Linked DNA regions of Struthio camelus. The protein of the gene in region 1 interacts with the protein of each later gene in a pairwise test. Links are inferred from orthologs where the notes say so. Each region holds a gene or a part of one and is shown in the gene's direction. Other genes may lie near its edges.

The links.
Region 2: the proteins of NDUFAF3 (region 1) and NDUFAF4 interact in binary tests that used the Homo sapiens proteins (3 or more experiments, as listed by UniProt). The two-hybrid records come from large-scale screens. The link is inferred for Struthio camelus from reciprocal best matches to the Homo sapiens genes NDUFAF3 and NDUFAF4.

The regions. Positions count from the first base shown.
Region 1 is NC_090955.1:10,148,032-10,156,513, reverse strand, and holds the start of NDUFAF3 (NADH dehydrogenase [ubiquinone] 1 alpha subcomplex assembly factor 3), read left to right. Parts: upstream 1-4,931; coding exon 4,932-5,104; intron 5,105-8,482. Other genes in the region: DALRD3 (DALR anticodon-binding domain-containing protein 3), read right to left, coding at 159-278, 536-604, 825-938, 1,060-1,118, 1,372-1,495, 1,908-1,990, 2,305-2,363, 2,850-2,920 and 5 more. UniProt on the Homo sapiens protein: Essential factor for the assembly of mitochondrial NADH:ubiquinone oxidoreductase complex (complex I).
Region 2 is NC_090944.1:53,379,589-53,389,235, reverse strand, and holds the start of NDUFAF4 (NADH dehydrogenase [ubiquinone] 1 alpha subcomplex assembly factor 4), read left to right. Parts: upstream 1-6,209; 5' UTR 6,210-6,213; coding exon 6,214-6,436; intron 6,437-7,210; coding exon 7,211-7,308; intron 7,309-9,539; coding exon 9,540-9,647. UniProt on the Homo sapiens protein: Involved in the assembly of mitochondrial NADH:ubiquinone oxidoreductase complex (complex I). May be involved in cell proliferation and survival of hormone-dependent tumor cells. May be a regulator of breast tumor cell invasion.

The DNA.
Region 1 (8,482 bases):
CCCGGCTGGCAGGCCTGTCCTGGGTGCGTGTATCCAAAGCCTCCCTCAAAACCCACCGCGGCAGGGCTCCAGTGTGCCTCGACACCCCTCACGCTGCCAGGAGGGCACACGCTGTCCTTGCCCTCGCCTCCCACGCGGCGTGGCTGTCCAGCAGCGGCTCAGATCTGGCTGAGAGGCGGGAGGTGCAGAGTGGCCAGGGCGCTGTGGAACGTGTCCCTCACGGCTGCCAGCAGCTGGAGGCGAGCAAACATCTGGTCAAACAGGTGAGGGAATGGCTCCTGCGGGGAGAAAGGCAGCAATGTGGGGGCTGGTGGCCACAGTCCCCCTTAGCCCCAGAGGCATCGCTGCCTCTTCACCCTGCTGACGTGGCCTCAGAGCCCTGCCCCAGCCTCTTATCTTGCTGCTGGCACGCAGAAGCCTGCTCGTGGCAGCCCAGCCCCACGGGAAGGCCTCCGCAGCCTGGGCTAGTGTAGCCCCCTGGGAGGGCTGCAGCGCTGCCCCCCCTTCAGCAAGTCACCTGGGCTATTTGACTCACCCCCAGGATGTGGACACGGTTGTAGTAGGAGCTGAAATCCATGCTGAGCTGGATCAGGAATTTGCACACCTGCAACACGGAGAGCTAGTGTCGGCACTGCAGGGTCTGCTCTTGGGTCGTCTCCCCCACACCAAACAGCACTCGCAGTGTCACAGTCTCGTCCCAGGGAAGCCCCTCAGCACTGTCCCGGTGTTGCATACCGGCGGGCAGCACCCTTCAGGGTGCAGCCTTGCCCCAGGCTGGGGCTGTGAGAGCAGCACCCATGGGTGCTCCGGCACGTGGTACTTACCGTCTCTGCGCTGGCTGTGATCCGGATCCCCTTGCTGGGTGAGGGCAGCTGTGCTGCCTGCTGCAAGACTTCGGGGAAGGGCAGGAGATAGTTGAAGAGCAGGAGCCATTCGCCCTGTGAAAGGGTTCGGTGTGTCCGAGAGGGCCGGATCCCCCTGGGCCAGAAGCATCGATCCTCCGATCCTCCGGAGCTGAGGGCACACAGCTCCCTGCAGCCTCCGTCCCTCAGCACTCACCTCTTCCCGGAGGCAGGAGAAGTTCAGTTCTGATGCTGGCGGCAAGGGTGGGTATGTGCCTGGGAAGGAGGCGAGAGATGGCTGCTGTGCGCATAGCAGCCCCGGTGCTGGGAGCCCTGGGGTCTCCCTGCTGCAGGGACAGCCCAGGGGACTGCTGCACTGGAGCCCCGTCAGGCCATCAGCCTCCTGCCTCTGGCAGAGTCGCTGCTGAGGCGGTTGTGGGGCTCCAGGAACAACCCCATCCCCACGCAGCCGTGAGGAACAGCCCCAGAGTCGCTGCTTAGGGAGAGGGCCCGGTGGGCTAGGGCTCACCCCGCTCCACAGCCCGCTGGTAGGTGTCGAAGAGCGTGGCCAGCCGGGCACAGTTGTACATCACGAAGGCGCCGCTCTTGGTTCCCTTTGTGGAGATGCTGCTGTCCTCCAGGTCCAGAACGATCTGAGGGAAGAGAGAGGCTGCGGTCCAGGCTGCTCGGCACACAGCCGGTCCTGGCACGTCCCTGCACCTCTCGCTGGGGGAGCGGAGCCTTCCCCAGCAGGCAGAGCGTGACCACCAGTGTGCTGAGCCTGGGCCCGTCCTGGGCAGATGGGTGCAGGCTACCGGGGCTGGCTGCTGGTGCAGGAACACCAGCCTGCACCTGCTTGCTTCAGCCCATGGGAAAGCCCTCTGCCCCAAATCCAGGGCAGCCAGAGCCCACAGAGCGCCTCCCCTCTCCCCGTCGCTACTTGTCCCTCTGCTTCTGCCCGACCTCAGCCTGTGCCATGAGCTGTAGCTCCCAAAGAGCGGTATGTCCCACTGCTCACAGGCCCCCCGGCTCTGCACAGACCGTTGCAGCTCTGGCCTGTCCTACCTGACTACGGTGGGCAGTGCTCAGCATCTCAAACCTGATGGCAGCCGCTGTCAGGACATCGATAACCTCAGTCCAGGCCTCGTCTGCAAAAAAACACAAATGGGGCCACAGCACGGCTTGCTCCAGCCCCGCGTACCTGCCACCCTCAGGCAGAAACCCCCCAGTGCGGGCTGGGAACCAACACGCTTCCCTAGCCCCTTCTCGCAGCAGAGAGAAGGGGACCTTCTGTGCAACGGTTCAGACACCTTCCTCCCAAGCAAGGTCAGAACCCCGCTCCTTCCCAGGGGAGAGACCTCCTGGCTGCAGCCACGAGACCCTGAGGTGGGTGGGTGGGTGGGTGGGGGAGACTTATGGGAGCAGTGCGGAAGCAGCATCTACGTGTGGAGCAAACCCTCACCTTGTGCGAGTTCCCCATACTTCATCACAGAGGCTTCGTACATCTGGCGCTTTCGGAGCCTGGGAGGAACACAGACAGTTAGAGCCACCACCGCCTCCCCAGGGCGAGCCTGCTCCAGAGAGGGCCCGAGGGCTCCCCCAGCCTTCGGGCTGCTGGGGCTGGTCACACCGCACGGGGCCTAGCTCCTGCCCCGGCCTTTCCTCCCAGCAGCGCTGCTGGGGAGGGGGAGAGCTACAGCCCCCGGCAGTCAGTGCCAACAGGGCCAGAGGCAGCCCAACTAGAGGAGCCTACTAAGAGCGAGGAGGGCAAAACAGTTGTCTTCCCTCTCCTGCCCCTGCCGTGGATCTCCAGGCCTCTAGAGACAGCCACGAAGCCGCAGAAAAGCGGAACGGAGGAAGGCTGCTGGGACCACACAGAAACTTCCTTAAACCTCCGGCACGCTCATCTGTTCAGAGAGCTTCCTGGGTGTCCGCAGGGCCAAAGCAGAGCCCAGGCAGCCTGGTCGGTGGGTGACACAGCCAGCTCCTTGCTAAATACCAACTTACTGGAAGTACTGGTCTGCCCCAATGGGGGATGAGGGCTTTGCTATCTTCACTGGTCCACAGACAAGGTGTTTCTGAAAAAGAAATGAGACAGCAGGCTTAGGCTCAAGGACTTAGAAGCTGTATCAGCACTAAAATGCAGTGCCAGAAGAATTGAACCTGGAGAGCAGCCAGGGAAACCTCTGCTCACAGCTATGGAAACAGGAAAAGGGGAACACAGAGTCAGGAGCTGCTGAAGTGCACTGGTGCGTTCAGTCAACAGCCCGGTTCTGCCTGCACCCCTGCAATCCCCTCCTGCCCTTCCTTCTTCAGCACTAAGGTCCCAAGGGCTCCGCAGCCTGGGCAAGACTGCGGAGGGGCCAGCAGGGCTGAAGGGAAGGCTCCCGAGGAGGCGAGGCTGGACCTCGGATTCACTGCAGGGACGGCAGGAGAGCTGGCTCAGCCCGAGGACACTGGGGGCCACGATGAAGAAGGCAGAAAGTTCCTCACCTGCAGAGCTGTGTGGGCTCCCGGATCCAAAATCCTCCAGAGCAGATCCATCTGCTGCTGCTGGAATTCCTCCTCGCAGCTCAGCACGTGCACCACGTGGCAGCAGCCTGCCTGGCCGCCGGCCTGCAGCAGAGCACAGCAGCGAGCTCGGACGCCGGCGCGGGACAGAAGGGAACGCCGGCGGGAAGCGAGAGCCAGGCAGCGCGGCGGCGGGGTTACTCACCGCGCACTGCAGGACGGCCTGCTGCAGCTCCGCCAGGCACCGCAGCTTCTCCTCCGTCACTGAAAGGAGGAAGGACAGTCAGGGAGGGAAGCGAGGGCGCGCGGCACCCCTGCTCCGTCCTGCCCCAGCCCGGCAGGTGGAAGGGGAACAACGAGGAAAGGCAGTCTACATCTAAACGCTCCTTATTCTTGTTAAGGTAATTAAAAAAAAGAAACGGACTCCCGTGCCGCCCTTCACGCCCCGTGCTGCCACACTAGCGGCCCACGGCGCTCACCCCGGAGGACGTCCAGGTTGGGGTCGTAGCCCTCCAGGTGCTGCTGCTCCACGAAGCTCCGCAGGTCCACTTCAGCCACGACGTCCTCGGGCAGGGCAGCAGCGGCGCCGCCGGCCCCCCGCTCGCCGGCCGCGACGTAGGGCGACCGCGCCAGGGCCCGCTTCAGGGCGGCGATGGCCTCGGGGCCGCCGGGGTCGGGGCGGCCGCAGGGCCAAGCGACGCGGAGCTGCCGCAGCACCTCCCGGCTCGGCTCGTCGCCCAGGGCGGGCACCAGGCGCACGCTGGCCCTGCGACGGAGAGGGAGGGAGGTGGCGGTGAGGCCGCGGGGCGGCGGCGGTGGGGCCGGCGGGGGGGGTGGCGGCACTCACCCCTGGGCGCGCAGCACCTCGGCCAGGTGGTCGGCGAGCAGCACGGGGCGGAGGCGGCGGGGCGGCAGGGCGGCGGGGCCGCGCAGGCCCGGGCAGTGCAGCACCACGCGCGCCGGGGAGGCCGGCGGTGGGGCCGGCGCAGGGCCGGGGCCCAGCAGCCGCCGGAAGGCCTCCGGCCGCCGCACCTGCACCGCCAGCCCCTCCACTGTCTCCTGGCACCCACTCAGCGGCAGCACTTCCGGGCCCGACAGTGACGTCACGCGCGCCATGACGTCAGCAGGCACCTGCCAGAGACACGGGGGGATGAAGGCAGAGAGAAACCGCTGGGTAAGGCCCCTCCCCCTGCCTCTCTGGCCCCGCCCCCGCCCAGGCAGGCCCCGCCCCCCGCCCAGGCAGGCTTCGTCTCCGGCGCGCCGGCCCCGCCCCCGATGCCTGGCCCCGCCCCTGCCGCCTAGCAGGCCCCACCCCCGCCCAGGTAGGCCTCGTCTGCGGCGCGCCGGCCCCGCCCTCGCTGCCTGGCCCCGCCCCCGCCGCCCGGGCCGGCCCCGCCCCCGCGGCCTACCTGCCCCCCGCCGAACGCGGCCCGCAGCGCGGCCTGCGGCGCCAGGAAGTCGCGGTGCCGCAGGCGGTGGGCGCCGCTCTCCTTCCGCCAGAGCGCGGCCGGCCGCCCCAGCGCGCCGTTCAGGGCCCGCAGCGTCGCCGCCACCGCCGGCCTCCCCTCGCCCGCCTCCATGCGCTCCCCTCGCCGGCCGCTTCCGTCGACCCCGGGGCGTGACGTCACACCCCCCTTCTCGGGCGGGGCCTGGCGGGAAGGCGGCCGCCATGTTGGGCGCGGCGCGCAGCGTGCCTGCGCGGCCATCTTGGGCGCGGGTGGGTTGGACGGGGCCGGGCGGCCATCTTGGGGGTAACGGTGGCGGCGGGGGGGGGGGGGGGCGCCATGCTGGGCGTGGCGGGCAGCACGGCGAGGCCATGCTGGGTGTGGCGGGTCGCAGTGACCGAGCCCCCGGGAGAGCGGTGGCGCAGCCGGTGGGGCCTGCACGGCCCCCGGCGGCCGCTCGCCCGCCAGGCCCGGCCCTCCTGGCCAGGGCGTTTGGGAGCAGGAGGGACGCACCTTCCCCAGGCAGCAGTTCAACCTGCCCCGAAACGCTGCCCCAGCGGCTGCTCCTTCCCCTCCCGGCCTCTCAGAGCCGAGCCCGCTGGGGGCGGCGGGGAGCGGAACCGAAAGAGGGCTGAACCGCGCCGTGGAAAAAAACACGAGCGGCTGCGAGGGCCGGGCAGGAAACGGGCTTTATTGAGCGGCCGGCGGACCGGCCTCGGGGGCCGGGGCTCCTCCGAGGGGAGCCGCTCGGCCTGGCCGCGGGCAGGACGGGGGCTTCGGCCACGCAGCGGCCCGTCCCGCCTGGGTGACGCTGCCCGCCGGGCTCGGGGAAGGGCCGTCCCCGCCGGCTCATCAGCCCCGAGGGGAAGGAGGTGGACGGAAAGGATGGGAGGCCGCGCCTTGGCGGTCTCGCTGCCCGCCGCACAGCCCGGTTCCTCCGCGGCGGCGTTTCACAGCCCGCGTTTACGTGGCGCGTGCTGGCGGGGGCCCCTTCCCTCCTGCCACCCCCGCGCTCGCGGCTCCGGGGTCTCCGGGGGTCGGGCCGAGGTGGGGGTGCTCTCTGCGCCGCCCACAGCCAAGAGGTGATCTGAGACTTGCTGCTCACACCAGACCAACTGCTGACTGTCTGCGGGGCAGGAGCCGCCCGGGGCCTCTGTCCGGCGCGGCACACCCCGACGCGGCCTGAGAAAGCGCTCGGACCTCGTCTCGGGCCGCTGCGCCGGCAGAGCCGCTGCGGGGGGGTCGGCTGGCTCCGTCCCCGGCCCTGCAGGGCTGGGGGGTCCCGGCCCACGGCGGCACCGTCCCCGCGCGGCTCCCTGCTGCGGCGCGGCAGCAGCCCTGCGAAAGCCGGGGTGGCGGGGGGGGGGCCGGGCCGCGTGCCCGACGCGAGGCTCACGGAGGCGCCGAAAAAGCTTTGGACAGACACGACATTCCCGATGGCTCTCCGGCTGCCCGCTCAGCGGGAGTGATCGTGTCATTCCAAAGCCGTCTCTGTCTCTCGGGGGACCGGATCCCACCGGGGTGCCGCTCGCCCTGCCCTACGCCGCCTCCCGCCCCACCGGCGCTGGGTGTTGGGGGGGAGAAACCGCGGGCCGGGGTAGAGCCCCGCGCGGTGGCGGCGGCGGCGGCAGGAAGCCGGCGCAGCATCTCGTGACTCGCGCCGGCCCTCGGCGGCCACATCCACGCTGCGGCCGGCAGCCGCTCGGCACGCTCGCTCCGGCGGTTTCTCCCCAGGAAACGAGCTGCTATCTTTAGCCGGCGGGGAGGCACGAGGTTGGGGGGGGGGCAGGCCTGTCGGAGAGCCCCCGGCATGGCCGGGGTGGGGTGGGGGGGCCGGACGCCCCTTTTTCCCAGCTCGCAGCCGCTGGGGGCAGAGGGGCCGGGGCGGCGGGGGCGGCGGGGCCGAGGCGGGGGCGGCGGCGCGGGTAACGAAATCCCAGGGCAGCTGGGCGCAGCGGGGACAGCTGCTTTTGGGATTCCGTTGCCCGCGCGGGCGCCGGGGCCGGGCCGGGCCGGGGGCTGCCCCGCCGCCCCGCCACACAGGGCGACTTACCGCCGGGCTGGGGGGCGGGGGGGGCCAAGGGGTTGTGCTGCAGCCCCCCCGCCGTCGCCGCGGGTCAGGAGCCAAAGGGGAGGGCGGCGCGGCCGAGCCGAAAGGAAACGGCGCCAAACAACGCGCCGGTGGTGGGGCCGGAGCACCTGGCGCCGTCGTCGGAGCGGCCCCGGAAACCCGAGCTGTCCCCGAAGCAGGGCACCCGCCCCGGCACCTGCGGCGCCCGCCGCCCCCGGGGCCTCCTGGCTCCGTGCCGCCTGGCTGCCCCGGCGGGAGGCCTTCGGGCACCCGCCGCGGGGGAAGCGAAACCGGCCTGCTGCCAGTGCCGGGCCGGCGGTGCGGGGTGGGGGACCCCAACGGCGCCGCGGGCACCTCGCGCTGGGGGGTCCAAGGGTTGGGTGCAGCCCGGCGTCTCCCCACCTCGGCAGGGTGACGGGAACGGCTCCGCTCACGGACGCCGGGAGACGTGCCGATAACCGCCGCGGTGCCGGGGCTGCCGGGCTCCGGGCCAGCGGTGCGGGCGCGGGAGCAGAGCGGGGAGACGGAAACAGGAACCCGAGCGCCTGCCGTGCCGGCGCAGGGGAAGTCACAGCCGCAAGCCGCAGCACGGGGGCTCAGCCCCAGGCTGATGGCAGCGGGCCCACCGGGGGGGGGGGGGGGAGCTGTGCCGGGGGCACAGGGTGGCAGCAGAGCCGAGCCGTGGGGCGCAGGGCAGGAGCAGAGCCGAACCGTGGGGCGCAGGGTGGCAGCAGAGCCGAGCCGTGGGGCGCAGGGCAGGAGCAGAGCTAAACCGTGGGGCGCAGGGTGGCAGCAGAGCCGAGCCGTGGGGCGCAGGGCAGGAGCAGAGCCGAGCCGTGGGGCGCAGGGTGGCAGCAGAGCCGAGCCGTGGGGCGCAGGGCAGGAGCAGAGCCGAACCGTGGGGCGCAGGGTGGCAGCAGAGCCGAGCCGTGGGGCGCAGGGCAGCAGCAGAGCTGAACCGTGGGGCGCAGGGCAGGAGCAGAGCTGTGCCGTGGGGTGCAGGGCAGGAGCAGAGCCGAACCGTGGGGCGCAGGGTGGCAGCAGAGCCGAGCCGTGGGGCGCAGGGCAGGAGCAGAGCCGAGCCGTGGGGCGCAGGGTGGCAGCAGAGCCGAGCCGTGGGGCGCAGGGCAGGAGCAGAGCTGTGCCGTGGGGCGCAGGGCAGGAGCAGAGCCGAACCGTGGGGCACAGGGCAGGAGCAGAGCCGTGCCGTGGGGCGCAGGGCAGGAGCAGAGCTGTGCCGTGGGGTGCAGGGTGGCAGCAGAGCCGAGCCGTGGGGCGAAGGGCAGGAGCAGAGCCGAACCGTGGGGCGCAGGGCAGGAGCAGAGCTGTGCCGTGGGGCGCAGGGCAGGAGCAGAGCTGTGCCGTGGGGCGCAGGGCAGGAGCAGAGCCGAGCCGTGGGGCGCAGGACGGGAGCAGAGCCGAGCCGTGGGGCGCAGGTTCAAGGGCAGCGCCGAGCCGTGGGGCGCAGGCCATGCACAGTGGGGCCCAGCAGAGAGCGAGGGGGGAGCTGTGCAGAGCTCTCGGTGGCTGCTGCCCCCCCCATCCCAGGGCTGGAGCATCCCCCCGTTTCTGCAGAAGAGCCTGCGCCCCACGGGGATCCCTGACCCCAGCAC
Region 2 (9,647 bases), on another chromosome or scaffold:
GACATTTGTATTTTATTACATATATAAAAGTAAACTGATCCTTTAAACTTGATCAAAACACTTTCTAAAATCAAAATTGGTATTTATTGAAATCATTTCATGGGGAACAACTATTACATTTTTCAATGTATTCAAACATTTTTAATGTTTTAAATCTATGTTTGTTTCCTGGGCAATGTGCTCTAGGCAACCCTACTTGAGCAGGAGGGTTGGACGAGATAATCTCCAGAGGCCCCTTCCAACCTCAACCATTCTGTGATTCTGTATGAACTTACAACAACCACAAAACATACACAGAATATAGTATTATTTGATACACTATAAAGCCAAACCATCCCACCATGTGGAAGGGATGTGTCAAGCAAAAACTAGACAGACAAGTTTCACGATATCAAAGCATCTAAAAGAAATTGCTGTTTTCTTTGAGGGAAATTCCTCATGGGAAATCTTACCAGAGAATGGGGAATTTTCTGGGCTTGCTAAGCAAGTTGAATAGCAAAATCCTCAACAACCAGAACTTGACGGTCTAAAGATACATTAATTCATATGTAGTTAATCCAGCAAGATGGTTGTGGTTATTGTACACATACAAACTGCGTATTGGTAAGCACAGCACTCTCTGCAACCGTTTCTCATCATGATACAAAACTTCTTGTACAGCTAACACGATTCTTACCTTTCCAGTGGATGCACATTCACTCCCACTTTTTGACAGGCCCAAGGGTGTTTGTCTTGAGGATTCTGGTGTGTGAGCAAAGCCAGCCCACCTCCCATCCTATGTGGTTCCCCCCCCCCCCCCCAAACTCTGGTTCACTTCCTCCTCACTTGGGCTGGTACAATTCTTTGTGTGACTGCTGAAACTAAATGATCTGAGTGCAAAGTACACCCTCTCCATTTCACAAAAAGAAGCAAAACTTGGCAGCAATAGCAGTTTCAGGTATTTGTACGCCTCTTCTCTTCAATCCCTTGTTTCCCCTCCTGTTTTGCTTGTAGTTTTTCTGGGAGCATTCAAACCATCAGTAACTGATATGCCTTATAAAAAGTTACAGGACTTTTGTTTTTATTAAATCAGATCAACTATCTGATGTTGTTCACCCTGAAGAGATCCTGCAGTCTTGCTCCAGCATGAGTGATGACACGATGCAAGGCTTAAAAGAATAAGGGCAGCACTTCTCTAAAGCAGTACTGCGACTAAGAACAGAGTACATGGAAGTGAACCCTGTGACTTAGAATGAAGACCATGTTAGCTCTCACTGAATAGCATAGCAAAATGCACATCTCTAATTGCTTTAGGTAATTAATGCCAGTACCAGGCTGTCTCATTATCAAATATGCCGGCTCCTACTGTGCATTTCCAAGTCAAATAACCTGCTAATTGAGATTATAAAAATTAGCTCGGAAAATTATGAAAGATGATGTCAGTTATACCAGGCCACAGTCAATCAGAAGAATGTAAATGTACCACCTTGAAATGAATGTTATAAGGAAGTAGTAATGCGTTCAGACACATTACTGTAAATGTGGGCTTGCTACACTCTACTCATAAGCTTCAATCCAGCAAAGGACCGACAGAAATTCTTTAATTCCTAGGTACAGCCACCTAGTCTTGAAAAGATGAGAGTCAAGTGTTTAGTAATACTCTGGTCATAGCCTGGAATCAGGCAAAAGTCTTCGTATATTTTTAGATAGTTCCGGAGCCACTAAAAGATGGATTAGGTGAAGCTCAGTAACAAATAGAACAACCAGAAATCACTTAAAGGTAATAGTGATCTCAACATCCATCTTTCTTGAGCTCATCTTCAGAAAGTCATGGGACAGTCATTGTTGCTCAGGTCATAATTATTGCTAATGCTACGTTCTCTGGCTCTTCTTACTGCTGATGAGATAAGGAACAAATGGATCAATGCTCTCATTGTATTTAATGGAAAACCAGTAGTCAGGAAAGAGGGCTGAGTTCCCTTAATCCTAATTATACATGAATTTGCTAGACAGTATCCCCATACATTGTTAAAATTTATGAATAATTAGGAAAATAAATATGAGAAACCAGTATCAGTGGTAGAAAGCATGGAGAGAATCAAATATTAAACTATGTCACTACAGTATAAGGGATTCAAATTTTCCTCTGCCTTAAACACTGGAACTTCTGAAGACTATAAAATGACGTAGTGAACATCATCTGCCTCCTCTCAAAAACTGTCAAATTGAGCATCCATTACTAAAAGAGATTCTTATTTCACCAAGATTACTTTTCCTCTAGACTAATATTCTGATTCCTGCTTTTCTGAGTAGTAAAGAAGGCAGAGAAACCTTGGTAGCATCTCACAATAAATCAAGTTAAAGGTCAGACATCCCCTTTGTCCCTTACACAAAGAGAATCTGCAACAGATCAGTCAGCCTTTTTTGATGTTAATTAACTAATAAAATTAATTTTGGACCTATTTTTCATTCAGCTATAGAACCTGTCAAGAATGAAAAAACAAACAAAACCCCACAAATTAATATCAGAACTGGCATGAAAAACTGACAGAAAGGCTTCAAGAATGTTTGCAAATTTATTTTTATTCTCCAAGTGCAGAACAGTTTTAAGAAATGTCTCCCTCGGATGTGGGAAAGGAGGCAGCCTATGGCACATATATATGATGCCAGTTCCAGTATTTATCTCTGAAATGTTTGACACTGTCTGCTGTTGAAAACAGGTTGCTGGTATAAATGAATTGAGTTGAATATTCTGTGTTGTTCCTTTCCTGTGTTTTGTTATTTTTAAGTTCCCTGGAAAAATTCATACATACATACAGTTTTTATGCTTTGAGGAACTATATGGTCAGTTTTTTTAAGAACATACACTTATAGACACGTGATAGAAAAGGATCCCAGGCTTTTGGTTACTGCTACTTAATATCATCAATATGGTTATATTGATAAAATGCTGAATGATCAAACAATTTTTTAAAATCCCAATTCTGCTGCTGCTACAGTCTAAATGAAAGAGGAAATATTATAACTCCAGAATAAAAATCTTGCACTTCTGATCCTTCCTTATACATAATAAGGACAGCTTTGTGCCATCCTCAGTGATAGGAAGAGACAGGCAGAGAATGACATCACTATTTTTAACTGTCTGTCTTCTGGTGAATTTATTTTGCTGTCAGTAAATATTACAGCAGTGTTAGTCACATTCTGGCTTTACAGAGACAGAATCACTGTGCTGGGTTTGATCCTGAAAGCCAACAATTCTTAGCTTTTGAAGGAGCAGCATCTTTATTTCCAAATTTGTAGCAATGCTTGCATGCACAGACAGAAGAGTAAGAACATGTCTTAGAGAAATACTAAAGTACACATCAAAGGTCTACAGCCACCAAGAAAAAGCATCCATGTGAATTTTACCATTACATTTACCTTCACAACACCGGATAGGCTACCCACCAGTAAAATATCAAACCCCATGCTCCAGAACATAGGCAAAAATCAGCCACTAATTGACTACTGATATTTAATTAGACACGCCATCAGCCTGATTTGCGATATAAAATCTCATAGCGGGTTCCACATTCCTATTATCAGTACACATACAATGCCTAAAATAGGATCAGGTTGGTTATAGGGTGAGTTTATAAACAGAGAGTAGAATTTAAAGAGATGCTTCTATCCTTCCCCTATAGACAATGAGAGTCTTCAAAACGTGGAAGTGAAAAAATTGCCCCTTCAGAACTCTCGAAGAAGGCGCAGAGGAAGTACAGATCAACCTTATGCTGCCTTGCCCTCATTGCCTTTGTGGATCTATTTGTTTTCTTCATCCACCTGCTTTGTCTTCTGAATTCCCTTTAAGCAAAAGCTGTCATTCATTATGCAGTATTCCAGCACACTGTGGCCTTAATAGCTACTGCATCATCACCATTATTACTAATAGTAACGCTGCTACTTACACTACTAACAGGCATCCAGATTTTGCATGCACACAGTGATAACAAAACTAGATGGATGCCAGGACAGAAAATAGGTGTCTTCCTCCTAGAAAGGAACACAGACATTGGACCTTTTAACTAGCCTTCATAGCACTGACTCTTAGTTACTTGATTCAGGCAACTATTACCATGCATGAAGAAAGTCTGCAAACAGGATATAAACAACTCAAAAGTACAAAGCAATTGTGTATAGGCTAAGACAAACAATAGCTAGGATTAAAAAGTCAGTAATACGCTTACCTCCTTTGGTAAGCTACCCTCTCAGTCTGTGTTTGCCAGGCAGTCATCGGTCAGACAGAGAGGGGTCAGCCTTTACTGCTTCATGTAACACTAATCCGTAGTGTTGCTGTTTCTCATTCCCTTTTGCTCTCTCGGAACTTTATAACTTTTCATAGTTATATTCTTCCTCTCTTGAATCCTGAAGCTGCTGGCTCTATCTCAAAAATTTACCTTTGTCTGCAATTTTACCTTTCTTATGTTACTCAGGACTAAGTACTTTCTCACAGCTGTTTTTCACAGTTTAGCAATTTTCTCAGAAGTCAAGGTTGAGGTGATTCAGCTGGGCTGCATCAAAGCTACGCCTTGGATCACAGAAAGCTAAAAAAGAAAGGTTACACCCTAATCAAGACCATAGCTTAACAGCATATCATAGCTCACAAACTCTGAATGATACAAAGGATTTGTTCTCCAAATTGCCGTGTAGGGTATACGTTCTAGACTATATCTGCGTAGAAAATTAATTTTCTGTCACTGAATAAAGCAACTATGTGCTAGTAAGGAAATGCTACACACACTAATGACAGAGTAATAGTAAGATGAAAAACATCCTTAAATATTTCCACATTATCATTATTCAAGTAAAAACTCCAAAGAGAAAACATGTAAGATATTTTAAATTGGCATACTAGTTGATAACAGTCAGAAAAGAAAGTTGAGATAATACCCTTTCTACATGAGGATTCATCATTCGGCAGTATATGTGGTGTCACATGATGACACTGTATGTTGGAGGCTAAAATGTGAAAAAGGAAAAAAGGTGCAGATAATATTTTATACATTGAATGGCCCTCTTATTCGTGCTATCAGGGCCACTCAGTCCGTTTATAAGCTTTTACATCATAAACTACAGCTTGTTGGTGCAGATGACATGTATTTGCCTGATCCGTATTTTCATTGTCTGGATTACACTACCTTCTCCTAACAATTCTCTTGAGGTTTAGGATGTGCACAGGTAATAACCCTGCATATAAATCAAGTGAATACACTTATAAAGTAACATATCTAAAAATCATCTATAAAGCAGCAATTCATATGTCTTTTACCAAAATGCTGACACAGCTGCATCGACGATTACAACACCAAGCACGGAAACCCTAGACTAGCCTGCCACCTTGAGGATGTTGCCAACTTTACCCCAAAAGAAATCATGCAGCATTGGTTCTCCTTATACTGAATATTTGCTTTAAGTTTTGGTGATCAATGTATTAAAAAAAAAAAATCCTATGTACATCAGTAATATTAGTTATATAATAAACCCCACTGAGTTACACCAGACCAGTCATGCCCATGAATGCCTACAACAGGAAGATGTTCTTCCCAAAAGACGAAAGATACCTTAAGATATATGTCGCTGTTGCATGAGAGCATTAGAATTGCACTTTTTATGCACACGTACGAGTTCCTGAAAGAAAAGTGCGATTTTCTCCTCAAAAGAAACAGTAACGCATCTCCGTTCTTGCAGCAATGAGGGAACATCACTCTTTCAAAAGAGTAACGGAGATTTTAAAAGCACAACAACGTACGCACACAGCACCATAGGGAAAGCATGTTCTCTGTGTGGGCTACCGGCCAGTTTTAAGGACGAATTTGTGCACTTAAGTACGCCGGTAGGGTGAAAAGCGCCGCCGGCGCGCCGCCCGCCCGCCCTGAGCAGGGCAGAGCTACCTGCGCCACGCCGGCGCGTCAGCCATCTTGACCACCGAGGCCCACGCACCTGCGAGCGCCGACGCCACAGCGATAACGCGCGCGGCAGAGGAGAAAAACGGTCGAGTCACACCGTGAAATAAAAAGCGATTCACCCTGCTTGTGATTCACACTTTGCCTCAGTACCTCGCCACGCACCACTGGACTCTTACATGGGGAAACCGAGGCACAGCCACGCTCCTGCCGCGCCTCCCCAAGGCGGGAACGGCAGAGCGGCCCCGGCCTCCCCCTCCCGTCCGGCGGCGCGGCGCCCAACCCGGTGCGCATGCGCGACCGGCGCACCCCGCTTCACCCCGCCCCTGGCCGCTGCCGCCGAGTTGCGCAGGCGCGGTGCGGTGCGGTGCGGGTGGCTGCGGCGGTGATGGGCGGGCGGGTGAGTCGCGTGTTCCGCACCTTCAACGTGGAAAGCCGCGCCCGCCGCGAGATCAGCAAGGAGAAGCCCACGCCCGCGCCGCGGCACCCCACCGCGCGGCTGGACGCGCTGGCTGGTGAGTCCCGGCAGGCAGGACTGCCCGCGGCGGGCAGCGAGCACCGGTCCGGCGGAGCGGAGCCGCGCTGCGGCCTCGAGGGGACGGCGGGCGGCGCGGAGGGAGGGTTGCGTTGATAAGGCGCTAGGAAGCACGGCGATGGCGAGCGGGCAGCCCGCGGCTGGCCGGCGGCGGGAAGAGCCGGGCCCGGCGGCGGGTGACATTGAAAACGGAGCGGCCGCGCGCGGGGCACGCCGGGAGCCGCTGTGGCGGCGGCGGTTGGGCGGGGCGGTTGCTAGCAGCGGTTGCTAGGGGCGGCCCCAGCGGTGCGGGGCTGCGCCGCGCCGCGCGGGGGGCGGTTGAGCGGCGGTTGGGCGGCAAACGGCTGGCGTTGCCCTTCGCCCCGCTCGCCTGGGCCGGCTCAGGCTCGTTTCGCGGATGTCGTGAATCGCTGGTCCGCTTCGCGGGCCGCTGGGGAGTAGCGCGCGTGTCTGGAGTGAAGTGAGGCCGTCGTACGGGTTACAAACGAGGGGGGTTTTATCGTGCTGTTTAGCGCCAGGAGTTATGGCAGCACCCCTGTTTCTCGGTGTAAAACAGTACTGTTAATGTTAGAACTAACGCAGAACTGAAATCTGCCTGAGAAACACTGTGTATATTGAGGCTCTGTGTATTGTGATGGCTCTGGGGAAGTGATAAGGCTGACAGAAGTAATGAAAATGAAACAATTTTATGACTCGGATCTTTCTTCTCTCTCTCTCTCTCTTTTTTTTTTTTCCTTCTCCCCTCTGCCTTTAGACCATCCAGAAATACAGGAAGAAATTTACAGAAAGGATGATAGGCTCCTCACTTTGCTAAAAGATGTTTATGTTGAATCTAGAGGTCCACCTGTGCAGGTGAGTATGTCTCGCTGTAGGAAGCATACGAGCATCAGCTTTGTGGTTTTTAGTCTCAACACAAATCCTACCTAGTGGGCAGATTTTTCAAGAAAAATACTCTCTTAGTGCCTAAAAACTACCATTTTTTATAGGTAAAACTGATGTTTTCATTGCCCTTCTATATATCAGTAGCACTGACTGTGTTTGATGCTGAGTGGTCTTGAACATGTGACAGATTATGGTAATGTAACTTTTAAATTCTTAGTAGTCTTTAACCTCACAGTGATTATTTTTGGGTTTTTTTCACCTAAGTTAGTACTCCTGCTTCCTCAAAGCCACAAGGATAATTGGCCAGTCTTTTGGAAAAATGCACAAGATTTTGCAGACTTGCTAGAAGGAAGGAGACTGAGATTAATATAAAAGCATGGGTATGGTAGAGGATGAGAACAATAGTATCAGTAGTTTAAAAAAAAAAAATACTCCAGTGAAATGTTCATGTCAAACTACGCAGAGCCTTTTCCTTATGTGACTGAGGTCGTGCTTTAGTTAGGTTTTTCTGTATAACCTTTGGGATTGTTTTTTGATCAGTTTCCTCATCATTAATGGCTTCAGTCTTTGACTTGGAAGGCAAGGCATAGCCCTTCCGGTAATGTCTAGGCTCGGGTTCAGTCTCCTCTCTTCCACCTCATTGTGCTACATCTTGTGCTTTTTTACCTCTTGCGTTACTGGATCATTTTATTCCCGCTCCTTCATGTGGTAATAAAAGTTATTTGAACATCCAGCAATAAAATTCATAAGTCTCTCTGATTTACTGCTTTTATGGTGCCTTCCATTCAAGATTTAAAAACATCTTAAACTAGAAATGGATTTCTGCAGTTTCTCTCTGAAGTATCCAAGTAATCTCTATCCATTATTTTCGTAAAGAGATTAAGACTCTAACCTTGAAGCGCTAAAGATTTCAATATCTTTGGCTTAATTTCACTATCTTCAAACGCTTCCCTTTGTCAGGCTGTTCAGAGAGATTTGAGGAAAAGCCAAAAGCAGAATAGGTGTCTTAGTACTTGACTAAGTCTGAGAGCCTAGTCTGAGGTGGCTGGTGTGCTTGCAAGACTTGCTCTTGTAATGTATCTACTTAAAATTGTTAGGAAAAGTATGAAAAATGCGTTAGCAGTGAGGCTTACTGGCAAAACTTCATCCAGCAGCTTATTTCTTCCTTTCCTGCTATTAATCTGTATGCCTTGTGTGTGTATGTATACATATGTATGCATACACCTCCACATGTCTGTCTATATTAAGGGGAAAAACATACTCTCAGTTCTGAAGTAGCAGATATCCAGAGCTGGCTTATTTTATTAAGACGTTAAGAATTTGTTGTTATCTCAGTGTAATTTTAGGATGGCTTAGGGAAGGGAAATTTGATAACACATTAGCAAATGTTCTTTGTAATTTAGAAACAGCACGGATGCTTTAGAATCTTTTTAGCTTATGCGTTAATACAAAGTGTCTGTGGGCTAATCAGTGGCCATAGGCTATGATAATTTTAAAAGTAGTGTTTCTTGAGCTTGAAGTTCTTCACTGTATCTTTTCTGCAGTGTCATTCACTGGTAAAGTCCTAGTAAAAAGGAATATGAGGAAGGCAGAGCTGGTTTGAAAATGACTTAGAAAATGAAATGTGAAAGGACTTGGGACTTTGGGTATGTGAGCACTGCAGTAATCATGGGAATTAAATTGCCTATGGAGCTGCAAAATAGCTTTTTTTTTTTTTTGTCCAACAAAGCTTGTGCTGCAGGCAGAGCAAAAGAGGGGCTGTCTGCTAGTTACAAAAATAAGATGTAAATATGAAAAAAGGGAAGGAGAGAGAGAATGGGCTACAGTGATACCAGAAGGAGGATACCAATTTGTAGTATGATGCCCCCACCACGAATCAGTACCCAGTATTATATTACCTGTATTTGTGTTTGACTACCACAATCCGTAGTGTCACATATATAGGGCTGTACAATACCTACTGTTTAATGGATGTTTGGGTTTCCTGAATCTAGGTGGAGATTTGGCCCCATACCTAGAACGACTGTGCAACAACTGGCTATAATTGTAGTGGTATCAAGAAGTGCAGCAGACAAAGCATCCTTTCTTTAATGCTGTGAAAATGCTGAAAAGACATATTCAGGAAAACAACTTGGCTGTTTACAGTATGCATAGTAAACAGAACTGCTGTTAAGTTCTTTTGTTTTCCTTCCCACAATTAGGTAAAAGATCAAGGTGGTGAACATCTTCCATGCAAACAGGAGGAAAAGAGACTTACAAAACTAGGTCATTTGGAGGCTCTAGACGTTAAGAAAGTTCCCAAAGGCAAA